Regions from separate parts of the Mus musculus genome. Here regions 2, 3 and 4 are each reported to be linked to region 1. The links are microRNA targets in miRTarBase. Many come from high-throughput screens and were not tested one by one. Region 1 holds a microRNA gene; each other region holds the end of a gene's coding sequence.
The links. Region 1 holds the annotated microRNA mmu-miR-105 (CCAAGUGCUCAGAUGCUUGUGGU, at 2,197-2,219, opposite strand). A microRNA usually pairs through its seed, bases 2 to 8, with sites in the 3' UTR of a target mRNA and lowers its output. Matches are read on the target gene's strand: a 7mer-m8 pairs with bases 2 to 8, a 7mer-A1 pairs with bases 2 to 7 and ends in A, and an 8mer does both.

Region 1 (7,000 bases):
AACACCTCAATACATGAACATTTATTCAGGATCATGTAGTCAAGACACCCTGAGAAATCCAACAGAAATCCAGAGGTTATGAAAGCCATGAGAATTGTTTGTACATTTGATAGGATCTCACAAAATAAATCTTATAAATGAGCTATGATACAGGAACAAAAAGCTTTACTCTATGAATTGATATCACATATGTAAAGGGAGACCTGGCAGAATATGCCCAGATGGTCATATGACTATGATATACAAATAGACATCATTTGTTCTGGAGCATCTGATCATGCTGCTTAGTTATATAGTTTTGTGATATGTATAAGTTAAAAATTATGCTATAACAAGTAGACATGGAATCATTTTGAAATTAGTAAATCATGGTTCCCTTCAGACTAGGAGAAGATCATACTGATAAAACACATGAGAAACTATTGTTACATGCTTAAGCAGTCATAGTGCATGGGATTTATTTGAGCACTGGACTATGATGCACAGGAAGTCTAGTGGCAAGTTAACATCCATAGAATTGGAACAGATAGAGATGGTACAGGAAAAACACCAGTATGTTAAGGGAGCAGAGGTCCATGTACTAGGAAAAAGCAACCAAAAATATAAACTGATACATAAAACACTGTTTTCCTATAGAGCAGTAGACAGTTAAGATTCCTCTTCAGGAACCATAGGGTATGAGCAGACAAGCATGTTATGTGCTCAGACAACCATGGTGCATGAGTAAAAACCTATATGGATTCTATAATACAAAAGTAGATGTGATACAGGAACAAATAACACGGGAATATGCCAAGATAAACAAGAGATGAGAATAAAGGTAGCATTCATAAGGCCACCAAGACATGGCAATGATGCTAAAGGCAATAACACAACATATATTCATACAATTCTCTGATGATGAAGCATTGCACCAACGTGTATTTCCAGACATTACAAGCAAATAGTTTGACTATAGCTTAAGAGTAGATGGTCAAGTATATTAGGGAAAAATGATTATAGAAGAGCAGAAAATAATCATGTTATGATTAATAGAATACTCCAGATAGCATTGATTCAAAGAGAGTCAGCACTCCATTGCATAAGCTTATGCCACAGTCTTTAAAACTGAAGTGTGGACACTATGCCCCTCCTTAGAATAGGGAACAAAACACCCTGGGAAGGAGTTACAGAGACAAAGTTTGGAGCTGAGATGAAAGGATGGTCCATGTAGAGACTGCCATATCCAGGGATCCACCCCATAATCAGCATCCAAACGCTGACACCATTGCATACACTAGCAAGATTTTGCTGAAAGGACCCAGATGTAGCTGTCTCTTGTGAGACTATGCCGGGGCCTAGAAAACACAGAAGTGGATGCTCACAGTCAGCTAATGGATGGATCACAGGACTCCCAATGGAGGAGCTAGAGAAAGTACCCAAGGAGCTAAAGGGATCTGCAACCCTATAGGCGGAACAACATAATGAACTAACCAGTATCCCGGAGCTCTTGACTCTAACTGCATATGTATCAAAAGATGGCCTAGTCGGCCATCACTGGAAAGAGAGGCCCATTGGACACGCAAACTTTATATGCCCCAGTACAGGGTAACGCCAGGGCCAAAAAGGGGGAGTGGGTGGGTAGGGGAGTGGGGGTGGGTGGGTATGGGGGACTTTTGGTATAGCATTGGAAATGTAAATGAGCTAAATACCTAATAAAAAATGGAAGAAAAAAAAAACACTATTGCAAGTATCATTGTTTTACCATAAAGACATGTACATTAGCTGCAGAACTGAGACTGGCACCCATGACAAGAAATCAAGGAATATCATATCAGCACCACCATTACTGTTGTCACATATACTTCACAACATTCTACTCAGTGTTGGAAATGCAATCATGTATTAATATGTACAGATTTATGAGACATCTTTGGCATTTTGTGGAAATAAAAGAACAGAAATGCAATTTGAGGTATTCAAGACCCCACAGTTAACAATCAATACTTTCAAATTCAAACACAAATATTTTGGCTTCACCGCCCACCGTTTTAAGTACAATAATAAATGACAATATGCTGTGAGTCACCTGACAGACAGCCATGGAACATGGTTTAAAAACAGAGTAATGAATGGCTTTGTTCCAGAAGCAGATGGCAATGTTGTAAAAGTAGGTACCATAGCACATGCTCAAGCATTCGTGGTGCATAAGCAGCCACCACAAGCATCTGAGCACTTGGCTAAAATGCACACACAGAGCATCTTGCAACAGGTGTTAATGCCATGTTACAGGCGAAGACATCAATGACAAAGGAGAGAGAAACTCATATTAGTAGGAAAGCACACAGTGTACAGATTAACATGAAAGGAGCAAAATATTCCATTTCTGAAAAAAACAGACTGTCATTATGTATACAAATCGTATAACAACTTCAAACACGTGACTGAAAATTTTTAGTTATGTAACCATTTTGGATAATGACTCAGTTCACATATGAAAAATGAAATGCATGTGATGCCAAAAATAATAAAATAATAAACTCCATTCAACTTTATTAAAAGAATGAATGCATGCCATTGGTCTAAGAGAATAACTGAATAGTATAGGATGCTTAGATGACTAAAATGTAAGAAAAAGTCTTGGAATATATGTTTCTAATATATAGCCGTACACCTACAGAACACAGGCTACTAATTGTAATACCAGTACATGTCGACAAATTACAGAAATAAACCGTGATGTGATTATTACTCAGACATGGTATGCTAATAAGAAAAGTATATAAGCAATGGATACCTCTGCTTCAAGAGGATGACAATGAAACCAAATCAAGTTACATGAAATCAGGCCATGGCATATGTGGATTTGTGCTTGTTTCTGGTAAAAAAAAAATCAAAGGTATCCCATTATATGAAGAAACAACTATTAGTATTGATAATAGAAACTGTATATGAGCAGTCAGCATAAACTGAGGGATCCTTCCCTGTACAAGATCTACTGGCCACAATATTACAACTAATATTCATACTAATGCAAATCATTCTATATTCCGAAGGAAATCATGAATTTTTTTGTCTTTTATACTTAGGATGGGTTAGTAGTTTCCATCATGTATCTTCAGATAACAATAGTGGTTGATAGTGTACACATATAATAAGCAATCAGATAAACTACAGTAGTGGGTCGAGACAGAAAGATAAGCTCAATTCAACATCCACAAACAAAATAAAGTTTTCAGTCAAGAGAAGAGGTAAACGGTACAAAATGAAACCTTGTGCTAAATGTTCAGATGAACATCTTAACCTTGAGTTCTTAATTATGATTCATACCTTTAAAACACAATTAGTTATAACTCTATTTCCAGGGAATCTGATGCCCTTTTCTAGACCTCCATTTGGATTGCAAATATGTAGTAAAAGACTTATACCCAAGAATATGTATGTGTGTGTGTGTGTGTGTGTATGTATATATATATTTGCATTCTGGAACTATATATTTATAGTTACAAAGTAAAAAATGACTATATGTGTGTGAGTGTATGTGTGTATACAAATCAAACTTAACTTAATGAAATTTAAAAAAAATTAAAAGCCACAATACAAAAGCGTATGTCTTCAAGTACAGAGGCTGTTATGAATTGAATTATGTCCTCTCCAAAGAGATTTTGAAGTTATCATTCTCAATACCTGTGGTTGTGATCTCATATGCAACTGAGTCTTCTGGTAGTAAACTCAACATGAAGTTATGCTATAAACATTTGAGTATGTCTTACACCTGAAACTCATATTGAAATCTGAAAGTTACTGTGAAATGTTAGAATACATGGCCTTTTAAGAAGCTGAAAGGAGTGTTCCTCTTTCTCCACATCCTCGCCAGCATCTGCTGTCACCTGAATTTTTGATCTTAGCCATTCTGACTGGTGTGAGGTGGAATCTCACCGTTTCCCTGATGATTAAGGATTCTGAACATTTTTTCAGGTGCTTCTCAGCCATTCGGTATCCCTCAGGTGAGAATTCTTTGTTTAGCACTGAGCCCCATTTTTTAATGGGGTCATTTGATTTTCTGGAGTCTACCTTCTTGAGTTCTTTATATATATTGGATATTAGTCCCCTATCTGATTTATAGGTAAAGATCCTTTCCCAATCTGTTGGTGGCCTTTTTGTCTTATTGACGGTGTCTTTTGCCTTACAGAAGCTTTGCAGTTTTATGAGGTCCCATTTGTCAATTCTCGATCTTACAGCACAAGCCATTGCTGTTCTATTCAGGAATTTTTTCCCCTGTTCCCATATCTTCGAGGCTTTTCCCCACTTTCTCCTCTATAAGTTTCAGTGTCTCTGGTTTTATGTGGAGTTCCTTGATCCACTTAGATTTGACCTTAGTACAAGGAGATAGGAATGGATCAAGTCACATTCTTCTACATGATAACCACCAGTTGTGCCAGCACCATTTCTTGAAAATGCTGTGTTTTTTCCACTGGATGGTTTTAGCTCCATTGTTGGTGGGATTGCAGGCTTATACAACCACTCTGGAAGTCAGTCTGGCGATTCCTCAGAAAATTGGACATAGTATTACCGGAGGATCCTGCAATACCTCTCCTGGGCATATATCCAGAAGATGTTCCAACCGGTAAGAAGGACACATGCTCCACTATGTTCATAGCAGCCTTATTTATAATAGCCAGAAGCTGGAAAGAACCCAGATGCCCCACAACAGAGGAATGGATACAGAAAATGTGGTACATTTACACAATGGAGTACTACTCAGCTATTAAAAAGAATGAATTTATGAAGTTCCTAGGCAAATGGTTGGACCTAGAGGGCATCATCCTGAGTGAGGTAACACAATCACAAAAGAACTCAAATGATATGTACTCACTGATAAGTGGATATTAGCCCAGAAACTTAGAATACCCAAGATATAAGATACAATTTGCTAAACACATGAAACTCAAGAAGAACGAAGACCAAAGTGTAGACACTTTGCCTCTTCTTAGAATTGGAAACAATCACCCATGGAAGGAGTTACAGAGACAAAGTTTGGAGCAGAGACAAAAGGATGGACCATCTAGAGACTGCCATATCCAGGGATCCATCCCATAATCAGCTTCCAAATGCTGACACCATTGCACACACTAGCAAGATTTTGCTGAAAGTAACCTGATATAGCTGTCTCTTGTGAGGCTATGCCAGGGCCTAGCAAACACAGAAGTGGATGCTCATGGTCAGCTATTGGATCGATCACAGAGCTCCCAATGGAGGAGCTAGAGAAAGTACCCAAGGAGCTAAAGGGATCTGCAACTCTATAGGTGGAACAACAATATGAACTAACCAGTACCCCAGAGCTCTTGACTCTAGCTGCATATGTATCAGAAGATGGCCTAGTCGGCCATCAGTGGAAAGAGAGGCCCATTGGTCATGCATACTTTATATGCCTCAGTACAGGGGAACACCAGGGACAAAAAGTGGGGGTGGGTGGGTAAGGGAGTGGGAGGGAGGGTATGAGGGACTTTTGGGATAGCATTGGAAATGTAAATGAGGAAAATACCTAATTAAAAATATTAAAGAAGAAAAAAAAAGAAGCTAAATGGGATTAGTTTATTTTTTTTTATTCTTTAGATTGTGGATCAATCTCACGGAAGTGGTATAGGTGTTGCAGGTCTGGGTCATAAACTGAATGTGCTCCTAGAGCTTTCTCTCTTTTACATGTTTCTATATCCCTACTGTTTTACCATCATGTTGGATGTAGCCTAAGGCTATCTTCAGCTATGACTATCTTCTCTTGGATTTCCATGCTCTAGAGCTATGAGGTAAATAAGCTTCCTTTATTTATAAATAACTCAATCACATCTATTCTATTTTATCAACAGAAAATGCAGTAATATGTTTGCATGGTCCACAAATCCAGTGACTACTGTCTGTATAAAAAACAGAGTGAAATTTGAACAACAACAAAAAAGATAACAGCATGTCTCAACAGAGCTAGTGATGATGCCACAAGCCAAGAAATTCTTGAAGCTAACAAAAGCTATTAAATTTTTCCACAGAACCTGCAAAAATAGCATAGCCCTGCCAATATTTTCATTTTGCAGTTATAGCCTCTAGAAATATGAGCAAATAAGGGTGCAATTATATTTTGTGTTCATAGCCCTTGGAGACAATAGTGAATGGTATTGTTCCAAAAGACAAACTTCAGCACCTGTGAGGTGATCAGTAACTTGACATCCATATTGTACTATAGTAACAATTATGTATTAGAATGAGAACTTATCAATAAGCATTAAACTATAGTTATGCACCAGAAAGCAATGCATTCAAGAGATACAGTAATACAAAGCATTTGGGGTTGCTGCCAGCATAACACAGCATGCTGATTTATAGTAATGTCATGTGCATAAGCTCTTAATTTTTTTAGTAATCAGTAATACACAAGAACATATTATAAAATTAACAAAGCCAAACTACAGTTCTCTAAAGGTCAACCTGGTTCTGAAGAGAGATAGTCAGCAATGCTCTTGTCACACAGCTATAAAAATGGGGGTTGGGACTCTGAGCACTCAGGTAGAAGCAGGGCATGGCAGCACACATCTGTTGAGAAGATTGTTCCCCGGAGTTTGCTGGCCAGACTGTCTAGCCAATCAGGAGCTGCTCCAATTTCAGAAAAAAAATCTCCAAAAGTCAGAGTGGCAGAACAGAACACCCAGAATTGACCACACACACACACACACACACACACACACACACACACACAGAGAGAGAGAGAGAGAGAGAGAGAGAGAGAGAGAGAGAGAGAGGGAGAGAGAGGCACACACACATATTCTCCCTCTCTGTCTCTCTGTCTCTGTCTCTCTGTATGTATGTATTATGTATGTATGTATGTATGTATGTATGTGTGTGTGTGTATCTCACATAGAGTACACACACACACAGTGTCAACTGGCCAGACCCCCCGTAGGTCCCAGGGACTGGACCACAACCAAAGAGTACACATGGAGGGACCCGTGGCTCCAGCCACATATGTGGC
Region 2 (7,167 bases), not on the chromosome of region 1:
TTGTGAGCCACCATGTGGTTGCTGGGATTTGAACTCAGGACCTCTGGAAGAGCAGTCAGTACTCTTAATGGCTGAGCCATCTCTCCAGGCCCTTAGTTTTTGTTCTGCTTCTATCCCATGCCTTTAAATTACATCCCTGTACATATTTGCCCAGACTCTGCTTTTTGAATTAGGAAAGTTAAGTTCTTCCGTATAGTCACCTCGGGGTCACACTGTGTACCTCACCAGACTGTAGGTCTCCAGGTACAAATAAATGTGTGGTGGGATGGCCACAATGTCTCTCAGCGGCTTCTTCAGGGAAAGTCATTACTGTTTCTACAGGTGATGTAGATTATATCCTCGGGCAGAGGTCTGGGTGCTGCTGTAGCATCGGAAAGACAGTCCTGTCAAACCATCACACTTGGAGAGTTCAGGACCCCCTTTTAGCTCATCTCCACCACGTCACAGGATCCCATCCTTTCTCATCCAGAATATTCGCTTTAAATGATATCCTCTGAGGAGGAAAACTTGTAAGTCAGGCAGCCCATGATAAAGACTTGTCTTTGTTTTGGGAAGCTTCAGCCATGGACCACAGAAAGGAATGTGTGTGTGTGTGTGTGTGTGTGTGTGTGTGTGTGTGTGTGTGTGTGTCTTATGCAATTGGAAGCTTGTGGCTTCCTACATTCTGAAGAGGCTGAGAACCTATCCCATGGTGGTGGTGGCAAAGCTGGAAGCCTCAGAACGAGAGACCAATGATACAGTCTGAGTATGGCACTGAAGGACGGTAAGCTCCCTGGGCAGTTGCTGGTCTGAGTCTAATCTTTGCAGGCAGTGCAGCAGCAATAGACACTTGCTAGAGTCTGGGCCACTGTCTGACTTTCTGTCTCTGGTTCTTTTCCATCTGGGGCCTCAACCCACATTCCTGGCCCGCCTTTGCAGTTCCTCTGTGTATCCGTCATATCCAAAGTGTCCTCCTAACACACTCAGAAGTGGCGTTTTACTAACCCTGGGGGCCACTCAGACAAGTCAACTAGGATCAACTATCAGCAGATGCCATCAGACCACTTAGATCTTTATCTTCCCTCCCTGCCTTACCTTATCCCCTACAGCCTGGTCCCTCCGATCTGGAACGATCCTCTCCCAATTCCTGCTCCCTTCAAAGCTTAAGTCCTTTAAATAGTTTCATCATTTCATTTTTGGTTTTTTGGTTTTTTGCTTTTTTTGTTTTTTTGACAGGGTTTCTCTGTGTAGCCCTGGCTGTCCTGGAACTCACTCTATAGACCAGGCTGGCCTCAAACTCAGAAATCCACCTGCCTCTGCCTCTCAAGTGCTGGGATTAAAGGTATGCGCCACCACTGCCAGGCTTCATCATTTAATTTTTAATAGTTGATGATGTTTGTGAATGTATTTTGTAAAAGGCTTATTTACATTCTTCTAAAGGATCTGTCATGCATATTTGGTCTGCCTTGCTGTTTACCTTTGTATTATTCATAAGGACAGGTGAAGTTCTTGCCATAAAGGAACTACTCAGAGTTTACTGGATAAGGGGCTGGCAGGACAGCTCAGCAGGTAAGAGCACTTGTCATTAAGCCTTACAGTCAGACTTTGAACCCTGGAATCCACATGGTAAAAGGAGAGAACACCCTCTGGCCTCTGCATGCACACATGTGTTCACCCCACCCCACCCCCAGTTTACTAAACAAAGATGAATGGTGAATTTGTAGTGTTTATTGAACCCCTCCAAAGCCCGTGCTATGTTGTCTGTCTTTCCTTGTAACCACCAGTTATTTTAGATGCAACAGAAGAGGACAGATTCACCAAGTCAAAGGAGAGGACAAACTTGGGAGCACAGTGTGGCAGCAGAAGCACAGTTAAGTCTCCCTTGGGAGCAAGGGAGAAGGTATCCTGTCTTAGAGTTTCTATTGCTGCCACGAAACATCATGACCAAAAAGCAAGTTGGGGAGGAAAGGGTTTATTTGGCTTACACTTTCATATTGCTGTTCATCACTGAAGGCAGTCAGGGCAAGAACTCAAACAGGACAGGAATGTAGAGGCCATGGAGGGGTACTGCTTACTGGCTTGCTCCTCTTGGCTTCCTCAGCCTTTCTTATAGAACTCAGGACCACCAGCCCAAGGACTGCACTATCCACAATGGACTAGGCCCTCCCCCATCAATCACTAATTTAAAAAATGGCCTACAGCTGGATCTTATGGAGACATTTTTTTTCAGTTGAGATTACCTCTCTTCGGATGACTTTGGCTTGGGTCAAGCTGACATAAACTAGCCACCACAGCATCTTATAAACATGAGGCATGATGGGAGTAAGGACGAAGGTGACACGACTGTCATTTGATGACAGGAAACAGTCTATGTCCTTTCCTCTACACTGTTTATATTTAATAATGAAACTTATCTAAATCAAACACTTAAAAGAAAAACCTGAAAATGAAATTTAGAAAAGTGGGCCAAAGAGATGGACCAGTGGGTGGGCGTGCTTGTTACCAGGCACGAAGGCCTGAGTTGACTCCAGAAGCCATGTGCTGAGACCTGATTCCCACGGTCCTCCGACCTCCTCCACGTGTTCAGTTGCATGCATATCTCCCTAACCCCCACAAATGTAAAAAAAAAAAAAAAAAACCTGACAAAAGTGTATCATCAAGGAACAAGATGCTTAGGAATAAATAATCAAAGAGGAGAAAAATCTGCCGGGCAGTGGTGGCACATGCCTTTAATCCCAGCACTTGAGAGGCAGAGGCAGGCAGATTTCTGAGTTCGAGGCCAGCCTGGTCTACAGTGTGAGTTCCAGGACAGCCAGAGCTACAGAGAAACCCTGTCTCGAGAAGAAAAAAAAGGAGAAAAATCTACTACACTGAAAACTTGACAGTTTTGCTGTGATTAGACACCAGTAAGTGTCTTATTGATTGAGGAGTTAATCACGTTCAGATGTCAATGCACCCAGGTGCTCAGGAGGTTAATGCAGTCCCTATTCAAATGCCAACAGCACTTTTGTGTTTTTAGAGATAGACAAAATGTATATCCTGAAATACAGATTCTCAAAGAGTTATACCCCAAATAATCTTGAAACAGAACAAAGATGTTTTCAGATTCAAATTTTTATTTTAGAACAAACACTTTCTGATTTCAAATTTTGATAGTAATTCTCCAGTAATCAAAGCAGTGGCGTTGGCATGAAGGCAGACAGAGTCAGGAGAGACTGGGCTCAAAACCGGCCCCACCATGCATGGCGCCATGTTTTCCCTCCAAAGGGCATTGTGCAAAGCTAGATATGCACATGTGGAGAGTAGAAAGTCAGAGCTTCCACCACACACAAAGATTAACTCAAAATGCATCAAAGGGCAAAGCTAAGAACTAAAACTAAAATTCCCAGGGCAAGCTACAGTCAGCTCCCTTGGAATCAATGCTTTTGTAGATGTGATGACCAAAAATTCAACCAGAGTCAACTATTAACGGGCAGAGGAGACCTAAAACAATTTCTTCAAACGCTATATAAAGAAAGCCACCAAGCATCTAGAACACACCAGCAGTCAGGGAACTAGGAAGCAGAAGCACTGGTGGATCTTAACGACTTCTAGAATGGCATACAAGTCACAAGGACATAGGCAGTTCTAATCTCTGTGCACTGCGGACAGAACATAGAATAGTGTGGCTGATATGGAAACTATGGCAATGCCTACTAATAAAAACAGAAGTACCCTATGACATACAATCTGCTACATGTATGTTAAGACTGAAAGCGGGTCCTAGGGGTATTTGTATATACACGTTCACAGCATAGTCAGGAGCTCCAGGGTGGGAACAACCGAGGTACCCACGGCTGGATGAGTAGGTAACAAGATACATACAATATGCATACAACATATACTACAATACCATTTGTCCTTACAAAGGAAGGAAACCGATATATGATATGAACCTTCATGGTATTCCGCGCTGGAGGCACACACACACACACACACACTCTCTCTCTCTCTCTCACACACACACACACACACACACACACAAGTGCATGCACACAACAAAGAGTCCACATATACCAGGCACTTAGGGTACTCAAATTCAGAAACAGGAAAGAGAATGGTGGTTACCATGAGGAGAGAGTATGCCAAGGACAGGGCAGGGCGGGCGACCTGGCAGTGGCTGGGAGTCCTCAGATGGGCACACTTGCATTTCCTGAGGTGGATGCAGAACAGTGCGGCAGGCAGACTGTACTGTACTGCACTGTGAATGTGCTGAACACAATATATACGGAGCTACATACTTAGCCATACTAAAATGTATTATTTCTATTTAACTAATTTCAAATATGGTCATGAATAAAGGTGTGTAAAATAATTTTGAGAGCACAGGCCTACAGGTAAGAGGTAAAATTTATAAGCTTCTGGAAGTTTGGGTTAGGAATGGTTTCTTAGAGTGAAAGAAAAAAGACATTGTCATTTTCCAATATGAAAACTGCTCTAGTCAAGAGCAGCGGTGTGTGCTTTCTGGGAAGTGCAGCGCTGAAAATGCTCGCGCTTTGGGGATTCCCGGCCAGCCTGGGCTAAGCCACATAAGGGAATGTATAAAAATAAAGACTGTGCTATATAGAGTAGCAAGAGATTGAAAAGGACAAACACGTTGAGAAAAAAATGCCAATTAATCTTTAAGAGACTTGAGCCAACAGTAAATAAAAAATCTTATAGGAAAATAAACAGATAACCCAACTGGAAGCCAGACTGCAGACTAGAAAACACTCTGCAAAGGCAGCATAGAGAGCCAATGAACACACGAAAAACTGCTCAGGTTATTAGACACTAGAGAAATGCAACCAAGATCCCAATAGATGCCTCTTTATCACAAGCAGAATGGCTGTCAGCAATATGAGCAGTTGTGAAAGTCAGGGGTGCTGGAGCCTAGATCCCATGACAGCATGAAATGTGGTAAAATCACTGTAGAAAATATAATTGAGGCCGTCATGATACGACCTTGGAGTTCAACTCTAAGGCATGTATTAAATGAAACGTTCATAGCATTAGTCAAAAGCCCCAAAGTAGAAACAGCTCAGAGCTCATCTGCTCGATGGAGAAATACACAGTGTCTGTCTACTGTGGATGCTACTCAGCAGAACTACACTGCAGACTGATGCTACATGCCAATAAACCTGTCGAATTTGGTAACAGGACTCAGAAAAGACAGGACTACATAGTTCCACTCATCTAATAGACCTGGACCAGAGGGAGAGGGCAGAGTGCTGACCAGTGGTTACATTTCTGGAAAGGATGAGACTGTTCTGGAAGTAGATAGTGGTGACTGCAGCATGCTCCACGAACACTCTAAACTCCATGGGGTTGTCTAAGTCAAAGTCCAATTATGAGACATGTGACTTTTTCCAAATAAAGCTCTATCTACTCAAATGGAGGCATTTCATACAAACACATTTCACTCTCTGTTGAAACTGAAGCACTAGTGGAAGGTGTGGCTCAATGGTCGAGCTTCCTAGCATGCAGAATGTGCACTCCTCCACACTGCACACAGACACCAAGCTTGGGACATAGGTGGCAGGACTGAAGGGTGCAATACTCCCACTCCCAGTGGGGGCAGTACACAGAGCACAAGGGTGCAGTACCTCCTACTCCCAGTGGGGGCAGTACACAGAGCACAAGGGTGCAGTACCTCCTACTCCCAGTGGGGGCAGTACATAGAGCAGACCTCAGTGACACCCTAGGGAATCCTCATAGCTTCAAAAACTTTTAAAATAGCAAGTGAACTTCCAGTCCTTGACTGCTTTAGCCCCAGTGAACTACAGAACAATATAGAATTGCCACTCTGTTCAATGGCAAGAATCACACTGAAGATTTAGTGCCCTGATGGCTTTCTACTGTGTTAAGTGGTCAAAATAATATGTTAAGGATTCTAAACTTTTCCAGCCACTTCATGTCATTGACATTTGTTATCTAGAGTGAACATCTGTTGTGTCCATTTGCTGCATTCCAGTGTTTAGGGATGAGGCCCATAACTTATCTTATGTGATTGTGCATGGTGTCAGCACAGTACATGCGACCAGGATCTAGCCAAGATCACCAAGCATATGACCCAGGAAGGAGCAGCGTCCTTCAGCAGGGTGTGACTTGTGGGCCAGCCTATGCTCTCCTTTTTGGAGCCCACCCATATCTTGAGGATGTGGTCTATGGCTGATTTCACCCCTTTATGAGGAGGGGGTTGGCCTAAAATTGAAACCAAGAAACAGAAAAAAGAGTTGGAGGAGCCACTATCTATGCCAATCTCATCATGGCCTCCTGAATTCACACACTGTGTAATCTGATCGAAGAGTCATCCTTGAACATAATCTCTTCATTAGGTAATTCCCCAGACACATTCTTAGCCCATAGTTGTTTAGTCCCATGGATCTTCTATAAATGACTTCAGCCAGCAGACTCATTCAGAAACAGCACTGATCCATTTTCTCTGGTGTCCTTGGGAGGAACACCTGGCCCAGAGGTGGAAGAGATGCGGCAGCTGCTGTGCTTCCCGTTTGGTTCCTTTCTGTTAAGGACCATGGAAAATCCTGGGTGACTTTCATCTTGCGTTCAGCATGTTATCAATATCCTTTTCTCCCTCTGAATCTTGATCTGGCATCCAGCTGAAAAGAAGCATGCATGCATTTAACCACATCTGGAATAATAAGCACAGCTCTGGTAAGGGTCGTCAGTAACTTTATGAAAGAAGAAACTCGGCTGAGCATGTGGCTAATGCTACAGCCAGGTAAAGCACCTGTAAGCCTTTGTAAAAATACATAAATTATCTATTTTTCTATACTATACTATACATTGAATCCAAGGCCATACATATGTTAGGCAGGCACTCAACCGCTGAGCTACATTCTGTCCTTTTCATATACTTTTTTGATAAGGTCTCACGAAGCTGTCCAGGCTGGCCTTGAATTTACTCTATAGCCCAAGAAGGCCTTAAATCTATTGTGTTCCTGCCTCAGTCTCTTTAGATAGCTGGCATCACTCTGTACCACTGGGTCTGACTAAGAGATCTATTTTCAAAACAAAATCTTCAAACGTGAGAGTCGCATTAGGATGGTGTACAGGGTCTTCCCTGGAACACGTGCTCTGAAACAGAATTGACCACATGGCTCAGAGTCATGTTCTCAGCTTCCATCATGCCCAAACAGTGGCACTCCA
Region 3 (7,167 bases), not on the chromosome of region 1:
GCTTAGGCAGGAAATAGGAGGTGGAACACCCAGGAGGCAGAAAGAATTCTGGGAGAGAGCCAAGAGTGAGAAGATCCAGGGAGGTGTGAGGAGACAGAGGCATGGTACCTGAGCACAGTAACCAGCCGTGTGGGAGGATCCACCCAGGGAGGTGGAGGAGACGGAGGCATGGTGACCAGACATGTGGCAGAATGTAGGTTAAAATAATTAGGTTATTTTAGTTATGATCTAGTCCTAGCAATATGGCCAAGGAATTTGTAAATATATTTTGAGTCTGAATCTTATTTCTGAGAGCATGGGGCTGAGAGGAAGAACCAGACCTCAACTTCTACAAAATTATATTGACAACACAGACCTGTAATAGCACATAATTATTTTATTTATTTATTTGTTTGTTTACTTTTACATTAGAAAACATGGACAATAAAGCTAGAATCATGTCTTACTGGCTACTCTTCCAGAGTACTTGAATTTGATTCCCAGCACCCAAATGACAGTTCACAATCCTCTGTAACATTAGTTCCAGGGGATTCTGTCACCCCCTTCTGGCCTCTTCAGGTACTGCACACACGTGGTGTGCAGACATGTAGACAAAAGAGTCATACACATAAATTAATTTTTTTAATTAAAAAAATGAAATGTAGACAATATTATAAGGGTGCTGGTTGACAACCCAGGTGTAAGATTTAATCAGATACAGTTTCAGGGTTCTATAGTTGTTGGTTTGATTTTTTTTTTTTGTCTTGAGTTAAATACTATTCATCCTTAGTCACCAGTTTTAACTGATAACCTTTTTCCTTTCCCTCCTAGGTAAGATTCAAGATTCTAGAATCTATTGGGCATCAATTGCTGTTCTGTACTCAAAGATGTAAAGTCTCAAGACTTTGGGCTAGAATACAGGACTTTGTGGGATAATATTCTCTCCCATCCCCAACATCACAAAGAAGAAGAAGATTAATACTAATTAAGTTTCAAATATCCAGAGGCACACCAGGAAAATGTTCTCAGAAGATTACTAAAGCTCTGCCTAGGAAAGTAGGAAGTGAGATCTGAGAAAATGAGAGAACAGCGGAAATGGACCAACATTTATAGTAACATCCTTGTGTGGACCAGATGCATGTCTCAATTCTGTATCTACACCTAAATGGCCACGGCGAAGAGTTTGCCTCCATTACTGAACGTGAGCTGTGAAAGATATTTCCTTTTAAAAATGTTTCTGGGACCACTCAAGGTTGTCGAAGAGCTGAGCCTGGTGACACAAGCCTGCAATCCTAGCTATCTGGGAGGCTGGGGCAGGAAGATTACAAGTTCAAGGCCAGCCTACTCTGGTTTATAACTTGAAATCCAGCCTAAAGTAACTCAATAAAAATTTTGTCTCCAAATTTTTGTTCACAAGAGGACTAGGGATAGAGCTCACAGGTAAAGTGTTTGCATAGTATGAATGAGGCTTTGGGTTCAATCACCATTACCACAAAAAAGGAAAAGAAGGATGGAGAAAAAGAGGAGAAAGACAAAGAAGATGAAGAAGGGGAGAACTACAAGAGAGGTAATGATAATAGTGATAGAGAAGACATTTTTTGTTGATAGGGGTTTGTATGGATTCAAAACTGGGATGGCAGGTGTCTTGGTTAGGGTGTTACTGCTGTGAACAGACACCATGACAATGGCAACTCTTTTTTTCTTCTTCCTTTTTGGTTTTAAGGTGTTTATTGTCATGTCAGGAAGGGGACCTAAGAGGGTAGTAAAGGCAGAGAAAGGCATAGAAAGAGGGAGAGAGTAAAGAAGTAGAGGCTGGCCATAGCCATGTGGAGAGAGTGGGAAAGGATATGGGGAGAGAGGGGAATAAGAGGGCAAAAGAGAAGCAAGCAGAAAGCAGGAATAAGAGAGTAACAATAAGAGAATAAGGACAAGGTGTTGGGGATTCCCATGGTACCCCTTCAGCCAACAACTGAATTAGATATAACACTATCCCAGTAACGGAAGCTTCATTTGGTGACAAGAGATGGGCAGTTTGCACTCATCTCCTCCATTATTTGACCATTTCATTTAGATAGCATCCTTATATATGTTATTTAAGAAGCTTGTACTATTTTAGGTGTTGCCCATACTGCCACTCAAATGCCCTTAATTCTAGCTGTCTCTCCCTGCATTCGCTCCCTCACCTCACCTTCCTCCCTACCTTATGTGATGCTTCTGTTCTGCTACAACCACCCCCTCCATCCATCTCTAACTTTTCTATATCCCTTTTCTAAGGAGGGCTTTCTGTTCCCTCTAGTCCCTTACTCTATACCTGCCCTCTGTGGTTCTATGAATTGTAGCTTATCATTGGCTTCCCAGTTAATATCCCATATAAGCAAATACATACCATTATTTGTCTTTCTTGGGTATAGGTTGCTTCACTCAGGATGATTTTTCTAGCTATATTCATTTTTCTGCAAATTTCATGATGCCACTTTTTTAAAATGGCCTAGCAATATCCTATTGTGTAAATGCACATTTTAAAAATGAATTTACCTGTTGAGGAAACTATATGTTTATTTCCAATTTCTAGTTTTTATGACTAGAGCAGCATCGAACATGGCAGAGTAAGTGTCTCTGTGGTAGGAAGAAGTGTCCAAGAAGGGTAGAGCTGATCTTGAAGTTCATCAATTTCCATCTTCTTCAAACCACCACACTGATTTACCTGGTGGTTGCACGAGTCTGTATTCTCACCAGCAATAAGTGGGTGCTTCTTTTATGCCACAGAGGATATGTATTTTCATTGTAATGTGTCTAGTTGGAAATAAAGTATAATATGTAGCCAAACTTCACTAGGAATATGTGAGATAAAATAGGGGATGAGAATATCCAGTCAATAGAAAAGAAAGGAAGTAAAAGTATATAATATAATGATACTCTAAAGTGGACTTGTCTAATTCCATAGGGGATAATAGACACATAGAGCTACCATTGCCACCTCTCCACTCTTCTCTTTCATTCTATTCTTTTCTGAAAATTTTGGCATCATCGATGTTATTATCAGGTGAACTTCAAGAAGATGAGAAAAGTAATTTTTTTTTCAAGAAAAGATCTCAAGAAGACAAGGCTGCCATCAAACTCACTATAAAGCTGAAAATGACCTTGAACCTCTGACACCCCACTTCTTCACCTTCACCTCCTGAGTGTTGTGATCACTGGCCTGTGCCACCATACCTAGTTTATGAGGTACTAGAGACTGAGTCCAGGGCTTCATGCATGCCAGGCAAGCACTTTACCAACAGAGCTATACTTCAATCCTTCAAAGTTATTTTATGGAACTACAATTAGAGCTTTGTAATAAGTTTAGTTGTGTGAGTTGTGCTTGGTTTAGATTTCTTTGTCACTTATACTTTTAAGATTTGCTCTCCTTTTGTGTGGGGAGGCAACAATGTTAATCAGGACTTCCACATTTAACCCAGTGCTTTCCACATTAGAGGTCTAAAAACTCTAGCGATGATCAATTCCTCGAAGTTCACAGAAGCTCTGTTAATTGTGCTGTGACTCTAATAGTTTCTGGTAAAATGTCACTGTTTGTCTTTAATGTGGTCATTTGTTCCTACCTCAGCTCTAGCACCTGGGCCCTGGCCTTAGACTGAACTGTTAGTTCGTCTACATCTTTGGATGAAACAGAAGAATTTGATGTTCAGTTGTCTATTAATATAACTGTCTAAGGTTCCTAGAGATGGTCTTAGCAAGTTCTCTAATGGAGAAATAGCTGTGTGTTAAGAGCGCTGCCCATATCTAGGTATGATATCTAGGGCACCTATGTTGAGAAAGGGAGTTTCCAATTAGTTCTAGGGAACAGGAAAATGCCAAGTATTAAGAATGCCAGGTTCGAGATCTTTAAAGGTCATCTTTTTCAATGAATCTTAAAAATTGGCTCTAGAATTGCCTCCCTCCCGCCCTCTGGTCAACTATAGGTTGTTCTTAGCTGTTATGTGATTTCATGCTAACATCCACAAAGCTGATGGTACAAGATCCTACAATTTAAAAAGTCATTACTGTTTCATTTAGGGGTGGAAATAATGCAGTACAAGAGAAAATGTTCACTTGCTAAAGAGGGACAGTGGGAAGAGAATCCCAAAATACACCATGATGTGAATTCCAGGTGACACAGTGGAAAGGAGAAATTTTGCCTTCATTCATTCACTTGTTTCAGAAATTTTATGTCCATAGGTATATAGATCTAGGTGTTCATATACATGTGTTGTGTATGTGTGTTCATGAGTGTATAGATGCAGTTTTGTACTGGATGAAGGGATATCCATGTGTTTGTGCGTGATGGTGAGTCTTTCCCAGTTGCTTTTCACTTCACTGAACTCAGCACAGGCTGAGTCAGTTAATCGAGCTAAGCAGCTTGCCTCAAGAACTTTTGGTTTCCTCCTCGCTGGAACACTAGGATGACACCCACCCAGCAGTTACATACATGGGACTAGGGATCCGGCCCTAGGCAACATGCTTGTACAGCAAGTTTTTGTTTTGTTTTTTGTTTTTTGTTTTTTTATCTTCTGGGCCATCTCTTCAGCCCCTGGAATACATGTAAAATAATGTTTTAATTACTTGTTGCTGTGAGAAATACACGGTGGGTCCATCATTATTACATAGTCTCTGCCTTAACAAGCTCTCAAATCTAGAAAATTAAAGTGTACGAGCCCCCAGTGGTTACAGAATAGACAGTAACTCTCTAGCCAGTTGGTAATGGGTATGGTGGAGGTATCATATCATGGAAGGCAAGTCTTGAGACAGGAAGAAAGGAAGCTCAAGAGAATCACAGAACAGACTCCTCTGAAAAAGCTCAGTTTTAATTCAGAAGTGTCTGCCCTTCTAAAATCACACACAGGCAACATTTTGTACAATACATTGAAACTGTCTTGTTCTTCAAAGTATCTTTTCTGAGTCTAAATCATGATTACAAGATACATGAAAGTAAATATATCAATATGGCAGGGCTACTCAGTACTCTATGATATAATAGTATATGATTATAAAACTCCACACATTATACAGTTTATACAAGTTAGGATGAACTTGAACTTGTATACAGTTTATACAAGTTAGGCTGCGTGAAAGTTTTAGGTACAGACATCTGTTAGCTGAAGGGTAGATACATTGACATTGTCCCTGTGTCCTCTGCAGTGAAGGATAAATGGTGAGAGTTAAACACTAGTTACTATGCAGGCACGGCTGTGTAGAAAACGCATCTTACGCGTCTGTGCAGTATGAGTTAGAAATGCTCTGAGTCGCATGCTTGTGCCAGAAAGCTTGATAGAGCTCAGCACTCTGATGAACAATGCAAAACCTTTCGATTATCAAGTCCTTTGGATGCAATTTACCTATCTGCAGCAAGACTAGTTTACATTTTAAACTAATTACCCTAAAATGCTTTGGTTGTCAGAAAAATTTTAAAATCAGGGACCTGTTTTGCCACTTCATTCTTTTTTTTTGGGGGGGGGGGTCTTTCGAGACAGGGTTTCTCTGTATAGCCCTGGCTGTTCTGGAACTCACTTTGTAGACCAGGCTGGCCTCAAACTCAGAAATCCACCTGCCTCTGCCTCCCAAGTGCTGGGATTAAAGGTGTGTGCCACCACGCCCAGCTGCCACTTCATTCTTGTGGGTGGCCTAACTCCTGGTGATATCCACAGCTGAAAAGGTGTTCTTTACTTATCTTTATCTTAGGCAAGACTCAATTAGGAGTATAAGAAATTGAGTCCTTACAGAAATAGAGAGGAAAAGGAAAAGATGCTGCCAAATGACTTCAGACACTCTTTTGACTCAGGCACATTTTAAAAGGTGACTTTTGTATACTGTCACCCTTGTGACAGACTAAGATGATGCCTAGCAGGGAACGAAGGTAGTCCGGGGTCTTGGAAATCTCATCTGATCTTGAAAATTCAGTATCTTGAGAATATCAGGTGGTGACTGCTTTTGAAATGAGCTCATGACATTACTTCAGAGAAATTCACTCCAACAAACACAATGTAAAACTCTTTGTCATATGCATAATTCAAACACATACATAAAGAAAGACAGACAGACAGACAGACAGGCAGTCTGTCTGTCTCTCTCCTTCTCTCTCTCTCTTTCTCTTTTGCACGTGCGCGCGCGCGCGCGCGCACACACATACACACACACACACACACACACACACACACACACACACACACACACACACAGGACATCTAGTCAAAACTGTTGCCAGAGATAGATTACAAAGTAATCTAGATTTCTAAGTAATCAGGGCAACCATCAAAAGCAGTCAAACCCAACACAGATGTCCTGGGCTTTCCAAGCGCGCCTCATTCCGTTCCCCCAGAGCATAGGTAAAGAAAGCATGCGGCAGGCTGTGCTTGTTTTTCCACAGATATGGCCTGGGACCATATGCTCTGAGCAGCTTCAGACTTTTTCATTGTCATTCATACTGATTTTTTTAAATGCGACTGGGCTAGCCTGCTTCAGAGACGTCTTGGACACATCCGTATGCATGGTAGACATGGCTATGGTCTCGTAGTCATCGTCTCGAGACCGGAAGTCACAAAAGTTGAAGAAGAACTGCAAGTCTCTCTGGAAATTTTTGTTCAGGAATCCATAAAAGATGGGGTTGACGCAGGTGGAGATCATGGCGGTGAGGTGACAGAGCAGAAACAGCAGATTGTGGTTGCAGGTGGCAATGATCTGGTGGTTCCAGTCGAACACAGTGTTGAAGATGGTAAGGGGCAGCCAGCAGACGGCGAAGGCGACCACAATGGAGAGCAGCATGATGTTGATTCGCTTGGTCTCACTGGACCTGTACTTACTGTCCCGGATCTTGTCCATCATGTTGTTTCTCCTTTTCAAGCGAATGTATATCTATGAAGGAAGGAAAGGGTGAATTCAAGTACAACATGCACCTCCTGGGAAGTCTGTACAAAGGAGGTAAGAAGGGAGACGGTTGAGGGAGGGGCCAATGGTTTTCTTACCTTGAAGTAGCATATGAATATAAAGCAGAGTGGGCCGAAATACTGCAGCACCAGGAGGAGAGTCGTGTAAGACAGCCTGTGAGAGTCAGATGGGAATTTGTCAAAGCACACATACTTGTCCTTGAACGCCGCAAGTGACACATTTTGGAAGGGCTCGTCGGTCAGAATTTGATAGATCACAAAGGGCAGAGAA
Region 4 (7,167 bases), not on the chromosome of region 1:
CCACTTCCAAAACCGCCCATGCGAAAGTCCACTTCACACGTCGGTATCAGAGTCCCAGCTCAGGTTCTCTCCCACCCCGAGTGCGGTTAAAACCACAAAGGTACAGGAACGAAGAAAATGACTCTTCTCTGAAGACGGGACTGGAGAAAATTCGGAGTGGCAAGCTGGCGCCTAAGCCGCAGTCTCGATGCACCTCCACCCGCTCAGCAGGTGAGGCCCCTTCAGAAAAACCGAGTCCCTCAGAAGGCCCGGAAGAGTCCGCCGGTGAGGTTCAGGACACAAGCAGAGTGCGTGTGCCTGGTGAGCAGGAGGAACTGCGGATGTTGGGCAAAAAGGGCAGCAAAAGCAGTATCTCTGTTTACCTGACCCTAAATCAGGAGACATCTGACTCTTCCAGTGCCTCAGTGTGTAGCATTGATAGCATGGATGATTTGAAATCCTCCAACTCTGAGTGTAGCTCTTCTGAGAGCTTCGTTTTTCCTCCCGGCTGTATGCACGCACCTTCTGCCTCTTCCACTTCTACTTCCTTCTCTTCAAAGGAAGAGAATAGCCTCCGTAATTCTTTGAAAATGAAAATCTTTTCAAAAAATGTCTCTAAATGTATCACACCAGATGGCAGGACCATATGTGTAGGGGACATTGTTTGGGCCAAGATATATGGCTTCCCTTGGTGGCCAGCCCGTATTCTTACCATCACTGTAAGCCGGAAAGATAACGGCCTTTTAGCCCGGCAGGAGGCCCGTATCTCATGGTTTGCATCTCCAACCACATCTTCCCTTGCTCTCTCACAACTCTCCCCCTTTCTAGAAAACTTCCAGTTACGGTTTAATAAGAAGAGAAAGGGTCTGTATCGCAGGGCTATCACAGAGGCTGCTAAGGCTGCTAAGCAGCTGACCCCTGAAGTGCGGGCTTTGTTGACACAATTTGAAACGTGAACATGGACAGTAAGGTAGGCGAGAACCACTGGAGCTGCTGCAGGTCCCTGGCTAGTCAGGAATCATTTCCACCAGCTAGCTTGGCCAAACTGGTGAGAAATTGCACTCAGTTGGCTTTTTATACGTTATATATAGCCATTTTTACACTAAGAAGCTGAAAACTGAAAGATGTTTCAAATTTTCTCTTAAGTAGGATTTTAGGAATATTTTCCAGTTTTAAAATCTAAAACCACCCTAAGGCATAGAAGCCATAGCTTCAAATGAAACAATTTTTGCAGGGACTGTTAATTGCCATTTGTAGCTATTGTTTGTGTGTATATGTATGTCTAGGTATGCACACCTAGACATACATACACACACATCCACATGTATAAACTATTGTCTGTCACCATGTGACATGGGTTGCATATTTGAGATTTTAGTAAGGGCTGGAACTTGGGGAACAGTGGATATTCAATGATTACTTGTTTTATCTAGTGAAAACTTAGACTTTCTATGCACATAGGGTATAAAAGTTTGATATTGGATGTTTGACACACTGAGATGCTTGCTATGACAAATTGGTATGCTTGCTGTTTAGTTATAGACCAGGCTGTACACATTGCCAGTATTTGGGATTAAAACTATTAAGACTAGACAGGTTTGGGTCAGTACTCTCTTGTCCAGTGAGGTTGTAAAACAAACTGTCAGATATTTGGTGGGAAGTTTAGATAGATTTTATTTGGGGTATATAAATAATTGAGTGAAAAGTTAGTCAGATTTCTCCTGACTGGCTGTTCCTAAATTCTTAGGACAGACCCTAGCAATTTACACTTTGTGAATTAATGTCATGTGTAATTGTTGCATTTTGGATGTACCTAATTTGATAGTTTTTCAGAAGCATTTTCCATTTAAGGTAATCTGTTTGCAGGTCAGAAAATGAGAAATGTGATTGTATAATGCATTGAAATGTAAAAAAAAAAAAGCTGTAAATAAAATCAACTAAATCCAAATTATTTGTGTGTGTTTCTCAAAAAGCTTTGAACAGTTTCAAAATAGTAGAAATTTTTCTTTGCAATAGTGGTTAGAAAACATGAGAAATTAAACATTTTTGTTTGCCCTGTCAGGGATGTATTGGAGAATAAATAAAATTCAAATAACAGGAGGTACAGTGAGGCTCTATAGTAATACCATCCGGTAGAACTCTAGTTCCTATCAACTGCTCATGAATGCTTTTCATTTTTTCCCCTCAGTTTTAGCTTTGATAAATTGTCATGCTTTAAAAAATTAGGTAATTGTAGTTGGTTTGCTCTCTGGTCTCCTGCCTCAGATATCACTGCTTTATGGGCTTAGTAATCTAACTCCATATTCTACATGGTCTACCTGTCCCTAAGATGTTATTTTTTAAGAGTCTCGCTATGTCACTTTGGCTGGCCAGGCTGATTTCAAGCTCAGAGCCTTGCCTGCTTCTGCCTCCTGAGTGCCCGCAGAGGCAAGGTGATCTCGAGAATTAAGTTGCTTCCAAGCCTTTTGTTTTCTTAAATTTGATATAGTTTCAGTTAGTACTTACTTGAGATACAAAAAGGTAAACTTTTATGGATTTCTAAAATAATCCAGTGTGAGATATGTTAGTTACTACATAATTAATAATAAAGATAATGAAATTTGGAAATGAACTTCCTTAAGCTTGATACCTGATTATTTCTGGGAAAGAAAATAGAATTTCTTCTGGGGAACTTAGTCAATGCTTTTTGATTTTAATAAACACACAAAGAAAAAGATACATATTCTTTCCTGCAAACAGAAACTAATCTGATTATGACAGTCTGAAAGCTCACAGTGTGATGAAGGGCTTATGAGGGAAATATCCTAGGTTTTCTGAGTAACTGTTTTAGATTAGAGTACTTGTTTGTTTACCTTTTGAAAAACTGATTTATGCGAGAGTCATCTAAAAAGTAATGTGAAGTGTGTGATCTGGGCTGTTGTAGTTGTGACTTTGAAAGTGGGTGTTGCTAATACAGTCAGACACTTTGGCAATGTATCTTTATGGCATAAACCATTTGTCCTATTTCAGAAGCTACATGGGAAAATACAATCTGTGATTGTGGAGTATATAAATAACATTCAGCCAGGAGTGATGGCATGTTCTAGTGATCCTATCATTTGAGAGGTGGATGCAAGAGGGTTGAGTGACTTAGAGATTGACCAGGGCACATAATGAATTCTTGTCCAGAAAATGAACAAAGGAATATTTGGCTCTGTGTGCTGGTACATGCCTTTAGCCCTAGCATGTTCTCTGAGATTGAGGCCGATCTGATCTATGGAATTCTATCTAGACCAGCCAGGGCCACATAGTGAGATACTATTTTTAAAGATATCCCAGTAGAATTTTCCAAGCAAGGTGACCATTTGCTATCTACTGTAACAGAGTTTCCTCTGAGAAGATAAAAGGTACTGTATGTACGATAATAAACCAAATGGACTTTTTTCTTCTTGTTTGGTTTGGTTTCTCTTTTCTGAGAGAATTTACTTAGACAAATTTCCAATATAAGAAAAGTAGCTAAAAGACAAGGATGAGCAAGTGCAGAAAACAAATAAGTTGTCAGGATGGCATCTTTAGAAATTTAAAGCCTCATGTTTCCTTCTTCATTTTGTAGAGCTTAGAAATCAGCAAGTGCACTGGTCTTTTAGAAGAAATCTGTTTTCTATTCTAGTTTATTCCCACAGAACAGAAGACCTGTAAAGGATTCACTATCTAAAGTCAGATTTAATGGTGTGTCCCCAAGTGTTTTGTTTCCAGTATAGCAGTCTAGCCTACCTACAGTTCACCTCAGCTTCTGATCTCTCCACCTCTCATGCAGGGATTCCAACACACCCAGTTTCTATGATGATGAGGACCGAATCCAGGCCTTTTTCACTTTAGCCAGGCATTCTATTAACAGATTTTTTATCTATCCCTGTTTCCTCCTAAGTGGTTTTGATATTTTTTTGTTTGTTTGTTTTCAGTTTTTGTTTTTTGTGTTGTTGTTGTTGCTTTTGTTTTTCGAGACAGGGTTTCTCTGTGTAGCCCTGGCTGTCCTGGAACTCACTCTGTAGACCAGGCTGGCCTGGAACTCAGAAATCCGCCTGCCTCTGCCTCCTGAGTGCTGGGATTAAAGGCGTGCGCCACCACCACCCAGCCTTTTTTCAGTTTTTGGAGCAGGATCTTCCCTTATAGCCCAGGCTGATCTTGAGCTCTTCTGTGCTAGTATTACAGGCTTACACCAACACATACGGCTGGAAACAGAATGTTAATGGTTGCTATTATTGTAGCTTAGTACTACATGCAGCAAGTACTAAGCAGGAATTTTTCTGAAGACATTGTAGGCAGACAACATAGAATTGATACTTAAATCAGCTTAGATCCATCTAGGGTATGGAGTTTATTCAACTAAGAGAGGCTGTTACTTTCTAAAGTTATTGGTTATTGAAGGAAACATATGTTCAGACATTTGGAAAGTGGCCAGTTTTCCTTTATACTGAATGACTGAATTGAGAATCAGAAAATCAGAAATTTATAGTATATGTTTAGTTAGGTCTTTTTTTTTCTCCATTTAAGTTATGAATGTTCTGTAGTTTGGACTGACAGTCTAGTGCCATACTGACATACTAGAAAGCTTGTAATGAAGGTTTTAGTTCAAAGGTTTATGTTCACTGATGGTTTCAAATAGGGAATTGGCCAGTTAGTGATGGTCATTTTCTAAGGAGGGACAAATTCAGTTTTTGCTTTGGGGCTGTGCTAATAGCTATTAACACTTTAATAGAAAAATCTGGAGTTGAGAGCTAAAGCTGGGTTGGAGCCGTTCCATTCCGTGCCAGGAGAGTGAGCGGCCAATCTTTGTTTCTACTTTCCCCTGGTTCTGACTTGAAAGGTGCTGACTGCGCTTCCACGGGGCGTGGACATTTCTGTACTCGGGCCTTCATTTAGCCACGGTTGCACAGTGGTAAATGATTTTATTAGACTTTTTGCAGAGTATCTGGGTTTTATTTTTGCCATGATAATTGATACTAAGTTTAATCTATCCTCCGAAAGGGACACCATTGAGTTTGGCTCTGTGGTGCTGGCTGTTGTAGCACACCCCGCTGTGATATTCAGAAGGGCGTCACTCCTTTACTGTCCCTGTGTCTTCAGTTAAAAACAAACAACATTATCTTTGTCGTAGTAAAGTGAATTGTAACTTTATGAATGCTTAAATAGACATGGCCTAAAATTTAACCATTTTGGGGGCGTATTTGCTTTTTAGAGGATTTTGTTGTATGGGTCAGGCTGGCTGGACATGCAGTAATCCTTCTCTCTCAGCCCCTCAGTATTGGGATCATAGCCATGTGCCACCATAACTAGTTTAAAGCTTTGCCTTTAAAACAAAATAGATAGGGGCTGGAGAAATGGCTCAGTGATTAAGAGCACTGACTGCTCTTCCAGAGGTCTTGAGTTCAATTCCCACCAACCACAAGGTGGCTCACAACCACCTGTAATGGGATCTGATGCCCTCTTCTGGTGTGTCTGAAGACAGCTACAGCGTACTCAGAATCAATCAGTCAATAAATGTTTTTTAAAAAATAGACAGGGTCACACTATCTAGCCTTGATAAGTAGACCAGGCTGGACCTTGCCTACTATCTTAAAATCAATTTTAATTGTACAATTAAAAAAACGTGATGTGTATGTGTGCGTGTGTGTGCGCGTGCTCTCGTGCCCACATGTACAAATGCCTTCAGAGGCTAAAAGATGGGATTAGATTCCCTGAATCTGGCATTGTAGGTCATTGAGAGCCACCTGATGTAGGTGCTACAAATAAGAACAGCAAGCTTTGGGGCTGGCGAAATGGCTCGGTGGTTAAGAGCGCCGACTGCTCTTCTGAAGGTCCCGAGTTCAAATCCCAGCAACCACATGGTGGCTCACAACCATCCGTAACGAAATCTGATGCCCTCTTCTGGAGTGTCTGAAGACAGCTACAGTGTACTTACATATAATAAATAAATAAATATTAAAAAAAAAAACAGCAAGCTTTTGGAACTCTGAGCCATCTCTTCAGCCCCCAGTTGTACATTTTAAAGGTGTTAAGTCTGTTTTAAGTCTGTACTATACCACTGTCTATCTGTAATATGGGTGCTTTGCTTTGCTTTCCTTCCCGCTCCCCCATTGGTTTTATGAAACTAGGTCACTCTAACCCAGTCTGGTTTCTAGCCCAGGACAATCTTGTTTTAGCCTCCCGAATGCTGGGATTACAAAAGTGACTTATAATCAGTGTTTTTAATAGAGTTTTAAATTTGCTGAGAATTGGGGCCACAATGTTTGCTTCCAGGATTCCTTGCTGTGTACCTGCAGTCCTGTATGGAGCATACTCTAGATAACAGCACTAACAGTGTTTTATGCTTAAGGACTACAGCTGCCCAGCCGCCCCTTAGTAAAAGTTTTAGGTGAATTAATTTAACTACATTGAGTACAACAATCTTTCAATGGTAGCAATTGCTTGGATAATTTTTTTGTGAATAAAGGAGACATTTTAATAAGTTTGATAATAATGGAGGCTGGACAGATGGGTCAGCAGATGAAAGTACAAACTGTACTGTACCCAGCATCCACTTCAGCATCAGGCAGCTCACAACAGCCTGTCCAGGGGATTGGACACTGACTTCTGACCTCTGAAGCGTGAGGATTGTAGACCTGCACCACTGTGCCCAGCTCTAAAGGCATAGTGTAAAGACAATCTTCACAATGTTTTGTAAAAATTTTGTAAAAAGGAAGATCAATCAGGAAGGTCAGTGTTGGGTAAATAGGTTTGAGACCAGCTTGGGCTACATGGATCCTCTCTTAAAAAAGAGGGAAACCCTCATAATTTCTATACTGGTATCCATGTCTGCAAGGAAAGGAACGCCAAGTCCTTCATGGCTAAAGTATTAGTGCCACCCTCCCACCCGCTATGCTTGTATGTATAAGTGTGCATGTATGTATAAATATGTTCGAGTTTTGCAGCTGTTTGAGACTAGGTCTCATGTAGCCTAGGCTGGCTTCAAGCTTGACATCCTCTTGTCTCTGCCTCTCTATCTCCTGTCATCTGCGCCTGTAGGCCTGGAGTGTGGCTTTTATGGGTAGGCTTTCTTAGAAAAGAAAAAGCTCATGCTGGGCAGTGGGGGCTCATGATTTTAACCCAGATCTCAGGAAGCAGAGCCAGATGGTTACCCTGCTCTACAGATGGCATTCTAGGATGGCC

Region 2: miRTarBase lists Coa5 as a target of mmu-miR-105. Seed matches in the 3' UTR shown: 7mer-m8 at 4,001-4,007.
Region 3: the mRNA of Npy1r is a reported target of mmu-miR-105. Seed matches in the 3' UTR shown: 7mer-m8 at 5,575-5,581.
Region 4: the mRNA of Pwwp2a is a reported target of mmu-miR-105. The part of its 3' UTR that is shown has no 7-base or 8-base seed match.

Annotation. Positions count from the first base shown.
Region 1 is chrX:72,589,351-72,596,350 of GRCm38, forward strand. Mir105 (microRNA 105) reads right to left here and starts at 2,229; the gene lies at 2,150-2,229. The region is part of intron 1 of Gabra3 (gamma-aminobutyric acid (GABA) A receptor, subunit alpha 3); the gene reads right to left. It overlaps Mir767 (microRNA 767), which reads right to left and starts at 744; the gene lies at 638-744.
Region 2 is chr1:37,414,011-37,421,177 of GRCm38, forward strand. It overlaps Coa5 (cytochrome C oxidase assembly factor 5), which reads right to left. Exons shown (of 3, transcript NM_198006.4): 3 at 3,075-6,617. The coding sequence ends at 6,576. Among named protein-coding and RNA genes, the nearest start is that of Coa5, 13 kb to the right of the region's middle.
Region 3 is chr8:66,704,433-66,711,599 of GRCm38, reverse strand. It overlaps Npy1r (neuropeptide Y receptor Y1), which reads right to left. Exons shown (of 3, transcript NM_010934.4): 2 at 6,975-7,167; 3 at 4,802-6,864. The coding sequence ends at 6,412. Among named protein-coding and RNA genes, the nearest start is that of Npy1r, 11 kb to the right of the region's middle.
Region 4 is chr11:43,705,268-43,712,434 of GRCm38, forward strand. It overlaps Pwwp2a (PWWP domain containing 2A), which reads left to right. Exons shown (of 2, transcript NM_027557.1): 2 at 1-1,927. The coding sequence ends at 935. Among named protein-coding and RNA genes, the nearest start is that of Gm34963, 27 kb to the left of the region's middle.